Linked DNA regions of Mus musculus. The protein of the gene in region 1 purifies or fractionates together with the protein of each later gene. This does not show direct contact. Links are inferred from orthologs where the notes say so. Each region holds a gene or a part of one and is shown in the gene's direction. Other genes may lie near its edges. The genes, in order: Ap2m1, Necap2 and Aak1.

Region 1 (3,654 bases):
GGCCTCGAAGTCAGAAATTCTCCTGCCTCTGCCTCCCAAGTGCTGGGATTAAAGGAGAAATGGGATTTTAAAATCCCATGCCCAACTAAACTGGAGTAGAGGGCAAAAGGGGTCTCTTATGTAGCCTGGGCTGTCTTGAAACTCTCTATTTAGACCAGGATGGCCTCAAACTCACAGAGATGCTCTTGCCTCTGCCTCCAGAACTCTGGAATTAACGGCATACGTCACCATCACACCACAGTCACAGATTTAGCTGAGGAAAACATTAACGTTTAGCTGTCTTCCTTCCCAGCTTTTCTGTTTGGATAATTATCCCTGAGAAAGGGATCAGTCCAATCCTAGAATATATATAAAATACATACAAATAAATTTTATATATATATATAAAAACACACACACACACGTTTGGGAGAATCAAACGTGGTGTTTAAAAAAAAAAAAAAACAGTAAATTCAGCAGTAACAAGCTTATGCCAAGTTGTGTTTGTAAAGTAGCCAGTCTTCGAAATCTGGAGACAATAAAAGACTATAGTAATTCAAAATTTACAATTGGTTTCGACAAATAGCTTTGGTCTCTTAAAGCTACCCCACTTAACTAGGAACAGGAAGGGTCGCAGAGACTACACTTCCCGTGATTCTCAGTGAAGCAAACAATGGTTGGAGTGTATCACGACACGTGTTGCTTGCAAGGCGCACTAAAGCTGACGTCTTCTCTGTCTTGAAGGCTGTCGGTAGTTGTAGTTTTGTTGAGCCTAGGGCGCTCAGATGTGTCAGCTTGAAAGCTGCGGGGACTGACGGGACTTGTAGTCGCCGCTGGAGGCGAGCGCGCAGGCGCAGCTGCGATCGGGGCGGGGTGGGGCGGGAGCACTGCAGTGAAAGCCGAGGCAGCAGACAGGCGAGCTGGGGGCGGGCGGACATCTTGGGATCCGAGAGTGGCCAGGCCGGCCTTGTGGGGGCTGCTGACTCCAGGTGAGCTGGGAGGCTTGACTTAGAGGTCCTTATCAGGCGACGAGGGTGCTGTGGTAGCCTGCCTTGCCCTGCACGGTGCTGGGTGGAAAACTGCCCGCACCGGGGAGTGGCCTCAGCCTTCAGACCCGGGAGGGAGTAGACAACCGGGCGGGGGTGCCTTGGGCGCGATTGCAGCAAGGGCGGGGAGCAACGCCTTCCAGTGACCCGCCAGGCGTCTCCGGGAAGAGACTAGGGCTGGAATCCTAGAGCGGGAGACGCCGCGCGGCGCCCCATCCCTAGAATCCTGACAACCGCTCAACCCCGGGGTTTCCTATTTCCCCATCCCCCAGGACATTGACATCCCCTGGTGCCACTCCCTTGGACAGTGACAGGTCTCTCTCGAACACTGAGAGATTCCATCCTCCTGGTTTACCCCCACGGCTCTTGTACCTCAGACCTGTGACAGCCCCCGCATCCCGTGGTGACATCTCCCGGGCCTAGATGTCTTCTCCTCCCTCAGCTGAGAAAAACTCCACCAGCCCCCTATGCTTCACTAACAGAAGAGTAGGCCCTGTCTCTCAGCTTTCTCTTTTTCTTGTCTATCTCTTTTCGCTGTTTTTCGCTCCTCCCAAGCTCCTATGACCTTTGCCATAGGAGACCTTTAGGGACTCCCACAGCTGTATTTGGTGCTTTGGGGTCATCCTGGTCTTTTGCTAGCAATTCCAGCTAACCCTTTCCTTAACTAAATATTGCATTTTCGTCCAGGACACACACACACCGCCCCCCCCCCCGAGGTCACACACACCATCCCCCACCCGAGGTTGATACCTGTGGACTTGGTCCTTTGCTCAGCGCTCAACCTCCATTTTGCATTTTCTTTCTCACCTTCTTTGGACTTGTCACTGGGCTTCAAGGGTTAACTTTTCAGTTTCAAAAAGTCTGTTAAACTAACCTCAGTGAAATTAATATCTGGACTAATCCAGAAATCTAGAACCAGATTAACCCCGTTACTCAAATATTCTACCTTAATTTTGACCAAAATAATTTGGGCAGTCGAGGCATTCTGTTATCCCTGCCCATTGCTTGGTAAACACCAGGCCAGAAGTGACTGACTTGGCAGATTTGGAGACACAATTTAGATGGCAGGATTAATGCTACTACATACAGACCTAATTTTTGTCACACTTAGAAATTTTGAAAAGACAGTAACCAGAAATAACTGTAAAAGGGGCTCAGCATTGAAGAGTTCTTACTGCTTTTCCAGAAAACCTGAGTTCAGGTCCCGGCACATGTCATTTGGCTCAGTACCACCCTAACTCAGGCTTGAGGGGTGGAGGGCAGTGTTCAGTCTAACACCTAGCTTCCACACATACAGCACACTGGCATGTACCTGTGTGTCGGTAAAAATGAAATCTTTTAAAGAACTTATTAAGCGGGCCTCTGTTCCTTTGTCTGCTTATCTCTCTGCCTGGGAAAGATGTGCCTGCTTCAGCCACCTTCCTGGCTCTGTGTTAGAGCCTAAGGGCCTCTTCCCTCCCAGCCCCACCTCACCCTGCACACCCTTTCCTGGAATGTGTAGACTTCTAGAGGGTCATGCTCCGTTGCCTTCTTGGAAGGGTAATGCTTGCTCTAAAGGTTATGCCTGGTGGCAGGCCCAGGCTCAAGCCAACTAGAGTAATCCCTCCCGCCACGCCATTCCTGCATCTGCAGGCAGGCCTTCTCTGTGACTCACTGGAAGCAGCAGGAGTGAGAGTGCACAGTAGGGGGCTGAGCTCGGCCTTGTGGTTACTTTCCTCAGCCCTCAGAAAAGGCTGGATAAAAATGGCCTAAATCCCCGGGCCTCACACTCTTAAAGTGCTGTCCCCTATCCAGTGTGGAAAAACAGGAACTGGAGCCTCGGGAGGGCTGCGGAGGACTTGGGAGTCACTTGCTAGAGGACTGAGTCAGGAAACAAGGCGGGCCTGTACAGCCCCATTGGCGTGGACGGGTTCTAAAGATTTCCCCTTTCCCTAATCCCCCCTCCCCTTTCCTACCTAGGTCTGTTCTCAGAGCAATGGGTCACAGAGACTGAGCTGCCACCATGATCGGAGGCTTATTCATCTATAATCACAAGGGGGAGGTGCTTATCTCCCGGGTCTACAGAGATGACATCGGGTAAGTCCCTTGACTGAGCATGCTGTGTTTCAACCTCCCTGTTGCCTCAGCCTGAGCATGCAATATAGCCTGGTTCCCATTGGGCACTGGCCTAGCTGCTAGGCTCCAGGCCTCGGAATGACACCTCCACCCCCTAGGGTTAGGAATCCCTGCCCTTCCTGCTCCCTGTGTCTTTGGGGTAGGTCTGGTGGCTGAAGACCAGGTGCTTTTGCCTGGTCTTCCTTTTAGAAGGGAGCACTCTCTCCAGTGGGTGTAGTTAGTGTGTGTGTGTGGAGATACTAATCCATCTAAATCTTGCTTTCAAATCCTTCTCATATTGAGAGCCTTCCCTAGATCCCCTTAAAACCTCTCTGTAGTCTGCTGACTCAGCTGTTTTCAGTTCTCCTGGGCCCTCCCTGGTTGTGAACCGGCTTACTGTGCTCTGCGGGTCATGCTGCCTTTGTAGCTCATCTGGGTGGAGCTGGACAGCTCCTAAGACCTCCTAAAGTCTCACTTCTCACTCTGCCTCACACTCTGGCTGCTTGCTAAGAGATCCTCCACTGTCTAGCCTGAG
Region 2 (3,749 bases), on another chromosome or scaffold:
CCCAGCACTCGGGAGGCAGAGGCAGGTGGATTTCTGAGTTTGAGGCCAGCCTGGTCTACAAAATGAGTTCCAGGACAGCCTGGGCTACACAGAGAAACCCTGTCTCAAAAAAAACCAACAAAAACAAAAAACCCAAAAAATCAACAAAACAAAACAAACATCAAACCGAGGCATTTTTCAAACCGTTGGTGGAGACCTCAGGCAGGTGAGTCACCGCAAAGCCGGGAAACATCATTTATGGCCCTTACTTGCTATCTGATGACATTCTTAGCCTTTATTGGTGAAAGCTGGCATTTGTACCTTCCAAAGGATTTACCTAATAGTCACAAGGATCTTAGGTCACATACAGAGGTGGCCAATAAATGGCTATTTAGAGGGTCAAGATAACTCAAAATCAATTCGCCTCCCAATCTGCCTTATTCTAGCTTTTCACAAGTGATCAACCTCGTGGAAGGATTAGGAGGTGTGTCCTCGTTGGAAAAGCTGTGATGGGGGTTTGGTCTTTGAGTTTTCCAAAAGCCCGTATCAGGCCCGGGTCACTGTCGTCCGTGCTCCCCTTCCTCCCGCCCCATCCCTGTGTGCTGTGGCCCTTCCACCCCCACCAGGATCATGACGTACAGCTCTCAGCTGCTTCTCTGGTATCACGCCTGCCTGCATGCCGCCATGCTCTCCCGCATGCTAATCATGGACTAAGCCTCTGAAACTGTAAGCAAGCCCCCAATGAAAGGATTTCTTTTTGTAAGTGTTGCCTTGGTCATAGTGTCTCTTCACAGCAAAGACAACCAGGAACTTTGGTTCACAACTTTGATTTGTACTCCTGTTGCGCTAAGCCACTGGGGCCTTGCGCACATAGTAGGTTATAAAAAGTTGTGGAGCGAGATTCCTCCAGAAGCCTCTGAGAACCTTCTGGGATTGGCGGGGACAAGGACATTCCGTCAGAAGGGCAGGGCTGCAGGGTATCTTGCATATCAGCCACCCTGGTCTAGGGTATAGAGTTTGAACTACAACCAGGTTCGGGATTAGGCTCAGATCAGCGGCATCTCGAGCTTCTCAGGTCCCACAGCAGCAGAGAGCAATCGCTTCACGGTCTGATCTGAGGCGCCCGGCAGAGGGCACTCGGGAGCGATCGGGGGGTCCCCCGGAGCTTCCGCTCTAGACAGAACTTGGTCATAGAGTCGCATCACTTCCGGTCCTGAAGGGGCGGGGAGAAGCCGGAAGTCCCGAGGGCTCGGGCGATAGAGATGGAGGAGAGTGAGTACGAGTCTGTTCTGTGTGTCAAGCCGGAGGTCCACGTCTACCGCATCCCGCCGCGGGCCACCAACCGTGGTTACAGGTGACCGTTCCTGGCTTAATCTTCCCGTCCCCCGCCCCGGCATGCACTGCGGGGGACGAGGACCGGTTGTCGGGTTTAGGGGCGGAAAGGATGGAGCCCTGTGGCTACTTTAATCGGGGCCAGACTTAGGAGGGGTCGCTGGCCCTGAGCCGTCAGCGGGACGCCGGCAACGGTCGCAGCCAGCTCCTGGGGACCCGAGAGCGCAGTGGGTTCCCTCGGCGGGGTCTACGGGTCGTGTCACAGCGCTAACCGACAGTCGTGACGGGATCCCAGAAAACCCTGCCACCCGCGGAAATCCCCGCCGGGAGGGCACGGGAGGGAACCCGGCCATCTGGGGGACCCGTCCCACGAAGCCCAGGGACGCTGTTCCTATCTCCGGCTCTCCTGACCCCAGTTTCACCCCTGATCACAACATACTTGCAGCTGGGAGGATACCGCCGCCCTTGTCTTGAGTGAGCGTCACCTGAGGCAAATAAACTCAAATGCCTGTAAACACACGGAGTGTCTCCGGAAGGGAACCCAGGACTCTAGTCTAGGAGAGGAGACACAAAGTTGGACACCTTCCCTAACTGAAAAAGATGAAAAATACGTGGTGTGTCCTGTGCCCTGTGGTGGGGTGTTGCTACTTAGGCTGGGTGGCTCTCGAAGGCGATGGGTGTCTGAGTTGTTTGGAAACAGGTCGTCGGGTACCACAAATGTGTTGGAGGGCCAACTCCATCTGCCCTTTGCGCTATGTAACACAGGCTCATAACATTTTCTGAATGGGTATCTTAGAACACTTAACTGTGTCGGTGCGATGATTTTAAAATAATATTAAAATGACAAGAATGGAGGTCAGCAAGCTACAGCTGCCTGTGCTTGCTTTTGCGTGTCTGGGTGTGGTGCGGGTGCATGCAGAAGCCACAGGAGTTCCAGCCAGTGTCTTGCTTTTTTCATGTCCGTTGTTCCCTTGAGGTGGCCCCTAACTGAAGCTGGGGTTGGCTGTTTTCATCTAGACTAGGTGTTCAGCAAGCCCAGTGAAACTCCTTTCTCTGCCCCACCCCACACAGTGGAGGGTCTACAGGTAGCTGGAGCCAGACCTGGCTTTTAGGCGCTAGAGATCCAAACTCGGGGCCTCAAGCTTGCTCATCTGCACCGAATCATCTCCACAGCTGTCTCCCTTTCCTTTCTTGTTATCAAACCGGAGATTGGCAGTCTACCCCTATCTGTTGGGTCTTCGTTCAGTAGACTAGGGTTAGCTTCTCTTGATCCTCCGGAGGGTGGGGTCACCAAGTATCCAGCCAGGCTGGTTTGATACAGAGGAAGCTGCCCGCCCTACACTCAACCTTTCGGGCTCTCCTTAGCCTGAATCTAAAGCCCGCGGCGCCAGGAAGAGGAACAGAAACTGAGCCTGCTGCCTTGTTAGCTGAAGATGTACATTCATGTGGATCTGCCACAGCTGCCAGCTAGAGTTCTAGAGAGCTGACAGTGGCTTTGCTTAGAACTTCCCAGAAAAGCCTTCTGAAAGTACCCATGGCATTTGCTGTTCAGGGGTTTCTCTTTGCTTCTGCTGCTGCTGCTGCTGCTGACGACGACACTGTTGCCTTCTAAAGGAGCCAAAGAAGGCATTGACGAGGGTCCTCGTTCCCTCCTACCTGGAATACAGCCGAGAATATCCTTCCTAGCCGCTCTTTCCTCCCCCGGACCCTCATGCACTTTTACACTCTTTCTACCAAAGATCCTGTCCCTCTGTACTCCCTCCATGGTCTCAAGGGTCCCCCAGCCGGTTGGTCCCGCTAGCTTGGCATCACAGTGCCTTAACAGACACAATAGGCCCGGAGCTGCTTCCTCTATGGACAGGAAGCTGGGAAGGAATTCCCACTTGGGTGAAGGTCTGTGGTCTTTAGAATAGGGGCCAGCAACAGCGGCTGCGTGTGGGCGTTTTGAATGCCAGCACGCTCCAACTGCCTGCAGTTTTGAATGGCCACAGGCTAAGAATAATATTTTGGACAACTTGAAATGACTGGAGATTTTGAAGACTGTTTCATAACGGAACAGTTACGAGCTTCGGATTCTGAGGACTTCCTGAGGGACAGCCTTGCCAAGAATAGCTATTACAGTTTTCATTTTTACATTTACTTTTTGTATATGTATGGATGTTTTGTCTGCGTGTATCACAGGACTCAAGTTACAGACCCTTGTTATCTGCTAAGTGGATGTTGGGAATCGAACTCAGGTCCTCAGATAGAGTAGCCAATGTTCTTAACTCCTAAGCCATCTTTCCAGCCCTGTAATAAGGACTTTTTTGTTGTTGTTGTTTTCTGTTTGTTTGTTTGGTTTTTCGAGACAGGGTTTCTCTGTATAGCTCTGGCTGTCCTGGAGCTCACTTTGTAGACCAGGCTGGCCTCAAACTCAGAAATCCACCTGCCTCTGCCTC
Region 3 (3,649 bases), on another chromosome or scaffold:
TGTATGTTTGTCAGTCCTGTTGTGTCTGGAAGACATTTCCTTGGTGCCCTCTATCCCTTTTGGCTCTTAGAATCTTTCCACCTCCTCTTCTCTGTTAGCCCTGAGGTTTGGGGTTTGATGAAGACATCCCATTTAGGGCTGAGTGTCCAGTTTTACATTCTACATATTGTCCAGTTGTGGGTCTCTCTATTAGTTCCCATCTACTGCAATAAGAGACAGCTTCTTTGATGATGACTGAGCAAGACACTAGTGTATGGATATAGCAGAAAATATCACTAGAAGTCATTTTATAGCTGTGTTCCTTTAATAGAATAATAGTACTTGGTTTTCCGCTAGGCCATAGCCTATCAAGTCTCAGGTTCTTGGCCACCCGAGCAGTATCAGGCATGGGTTCCGTCTCATGGAGTGGACCTTAAATCCAATCAAAGAGTGGGTGTTTACTCCCCACTGTTTGTGCCGCTATTGTACCATCATGTCAGGCAGGGTTGGTGTTCATGAGCTCCTTTAGTTTGTGTTTATCTTAAAATGTCCTTATTTGGGGCTGGGGAGATGGCCTTGTGGGTAATTATTACTTGCCAGAACCCATGTGAAGCTGCCTACAGTAGGGCATGTGTTTGTAATCCTAGCATGCCCCAACCAGTAGCTGAGAGACAGACATAGGATAATTGCAGGAAGTTGACAGACAAGCTAGCCTGGTGTATGCAGTGTTGACAAGGAAAACCCTGTCTCAAACTAGGTAAAAGATGAGAACCAACACCTAGAGTTGCCCTCTGACCTCCACACGTGCGTCCTGGCACTTGCACGGCCCCCTCACAAATGACCTTGAATCTCCGTTGCTTTCCAAGATGGCTTTACTGGGTTTGGTAATTTTGGTTGAAGGTTATGTACTTTGTATCATTCTGTGCTTTCTTGGCTTTAAGGTTGTTGATGAGAGAGATGTTATTTTGATGTGTTTGCCTTTGTAGGTGAATTGGCATTTGGGGAAGTATTGATTAAGCCAATCCACACTGAATGTTTTGGAGGCGTGTTAAGGGCAGACATCTTGTGTTCTGCATATGCCCTCTATTTTCTCACATTTTAACAGTAGCTTTGTTTTTCCTTTTCTAGACTGACCGATCCCATTCCCACCACAGAGACTTCAATCGCACCCCGCCAGAGGCCTAAAGCTGGGCAGACTCAGCCAAACCCAGGCATCCTTCCCATCCAGCCAGCCCTGACTCCTCGGAAGAGGGCCACTGTTCAGCCCCTACCTCAGGCTGCAGGTCAGTAACTGGTTTGCAGCTTGTTCCAGTGCTTCTTGATGGTAGTGTTAGAAGGCACAGCCTAAAGAATAATGCGCTGAGCTGCCTATGAGTGTGTATGGCCAGTGGCAGTACAAGGAAGAACTTCTTTCTGTACTCGGGTGGATCACTAAGACCTCTGAAGCCTGTTGTCTGCATTTATTTTCTTATTGCACCTCTATCCACTCCACCCTATTTATCTTATATATTTTTCCTTGCTTTTAAAGAAACAAGGCTTACTTATTTTTGATAACCACAGAAGGATATTTTATTAATGCTGTGTTTACTGGAGTATTTATCATCTTTGTGTTCTGTTATAACAAGGGGAGTGAGCTTTTTTTCATAAAGGGAATTGATCCAAAACAAGAAGTCACAGACCACAGCCATCACATTTCTCACCAGGAACCATTTCTAATTAATTTGGTGGCTAGCCATATAAAGCCAGGCATGCAGATGCTAGTTGTGTAAACTACTCATAAATATCAAAGAATGCTTTTGCTGTTGCATGCAAGCTGGTACACAGACTATGTTTAGCTTCAATTGTCAGCTGCGTGTAAGGGAAACAAGAGGTGCTGACTGCAGAGCAAGGTGACTGAATGAGATGGAGGGTGAGGGAAACCCTCTGCAGGAGGCAGGCACTGAAGTCTACAGTTCCACCTGCCTTTGAAACTGTGGAAGCATGTGATTTGGCAAGAAGTGGAAAGCTATTCCGAGTAGAACATCCCAGATGGCAAAATAGTGAGGAACAGACAAAGCTTGGGAAAGTCTGCCTACTTCTGCCATTTCTTGTGTAGCAAATCACAAAGCCTTTTTAAATAAGGTTTTTCTGTGTAGCCCTTCCTGTCCTCGAACTCACAGAGATCCATCTGTCTCTCCTTCCAAGTGCTGGGATTAAAGGTGTGCACCACCACTGCCAGGCTTCAGAAAGCCATTTTGTCTGGTAGAGTTTTAAGCCCTTACATGGAGTTTATTTTCATTGTAGGACCCAGCAATCAGCCTGGACTTCTACCCAGTGTTTCCCAACCTAAAGCCCAAGCCACACCCAGTCAACCTCTTCAGTCATCTCAACCCAAGCAACCACAAGCTCCACCCACCCCACAGCAGACACCTGCTACCCAGACACAAGGTTTGCCCACCCAGGCCCAGGCCACTCCCCAGCACCAGCAGCAACACCTCCTCAAGCAACAGCAGCAACAGCAGCAACAGCCTCAGCAGCCTACAGCACCACCACAGCCTGCAGGCACCTTTTACCAGCAGCAGCAGCAACAGCAGCAGCAGCAGGCTCAGACTCAGCAGGTGAGGAGCTCTATATGACCCTTACTTTGTACAGAGGGATATTAGTATTCAAAGGCCTGAGAAGTGCTAGGATGACCAAGAGTCACTGACCAATGTCTCCACTTCTCCACAGATGTAGAAACTGAAGCATTGAAGTGTAGTTAATAACTCTCAGAACATGTCCTCAAGCCTTGGGGAATTTACCCAACTTAACACCCTGACTGACAGAGCTACTTTCTAAGGAAATGGGGGAGAGGGGAATAACAATGACACACTATCCAGTAGTGTCAAGGTTTTAGATGTTGCATAGTTTAAGTTAGCTTGGTTGGATCAGTAGCCAAACAAGGTTCATGTACTCTATTTAGTTAGGATATATTATTTTCCATTATTTTTACATATTTTTTAACTTTGAACATATATATTTTATAATGATTGATTTCTCTTTTAAAAAAATTGTGTGTGTGTGTGTGTGTGTCTGTGTGAGTGTATACATATGTATATATTTGGGCACATATACCTGTGAACACTCAGAGGCAAGAGGAGCAATGGATCAACTCTAAATGGAATTTAGAATTACAGACATTTGCTGGATACCTGGCTTGTTACATATGTGCTGGGATCTATACTCCAGCAAGCACTCCTAACCACTGAGCCAACTCTCTGCATGTACCTCCCTGCAGTGTGGATTAGAAAGACATAAAAGAAATGCCAAGAAGATGGGTCTAAGGTGCATTTTAGCCCCAGCCACTTGGGAAGCTAAGTCAGCAGAGTTGCTTGAGTCCACGGGTTTTTGGAATGAACCTTGACAATGTAGTGAGACCCATATAAAGCAAAGAGTAATAGAGTAAATAGAGTATTTGAAGGTGGCAGAATTTCTTTCTTTTTTTTTTTCCATTTTTTATTAGGTATTTAGCTCATTTACATTTCCAATGCTATACCAAAAGTCCCCCATACCCACCCACCCCCAATCCCCTACCCACCCAATCCCCCTTTTTGGCCCTGGCGTTCCCCTGTACTGGGGCATATAAAGTTTGCGTGTCCAATGGGCCTCTCTTTCCAGTGATGGCCGACTAGGCCATCTTTTGATACATATG

Evidence for each region.
Region 2: the proteins of Ap2m1 (region 1) and Necap2 purify together in Homo sapiens (affinity purification with mass spectrometry; 4 studies listed by BioGRID and IntAct, counting the BioPlex papers as one, with this or other methods). This does not show direct contact. The link is inferred for Mus musculus from reciprocal best matches to the Homo sapiens genes AP2M1 and NECAP2.
Region 3: the proteins of Ap2m1 (region 1) and Aak1 purify together in Homo sapiens (affinity purification with mass spectrometry; 5 studies listed by BioGRID and IntAct, counting the BioPlex papers as one, with this or other methods). This does not show direct contact. The link is inferred for Mus musculus from reciprocal best matches to the Homo sapiens genes AP2M1 and AAK1.

What each region holds. Positions count from the first base shown.
Region 1 is NC_000082.6:20,534,634-20,538,287, forward strand, and holds the start of Ap2m1 (AP-2 complex subunit mu), read left to right. Parts: upstream 1-846; 5' UTR 847-968; intron 969-2,984; 5' UTR 2,985-3,027; coding exon 3,028-3,101; intron 3,102-3,654.
Region 2 is NC_000070.6:141,075,797-141,079,545, reverse strand, and holds the start of Necap2 (adaptin ear-binding coat-associated protein 2), read left to right. Parts: upstream 1-1,188; 5' UTR 1,189-1,241; coding exon 1,242-1,333; intron 1,334-3,749. UniProt on the Homo sapiens protein: Involved in endocytosis.
Region 3 is NC_000072.6:86,953,997-86,957,645, forward strand, and holds part of Aak1 (AP2 associated kinase 1), read left to right. Parts: intron 1-1,107; coding exon 1,108-1,262; intron 1,263-2,262; coding exon 2,263-2,576; intron 2,577-3,649.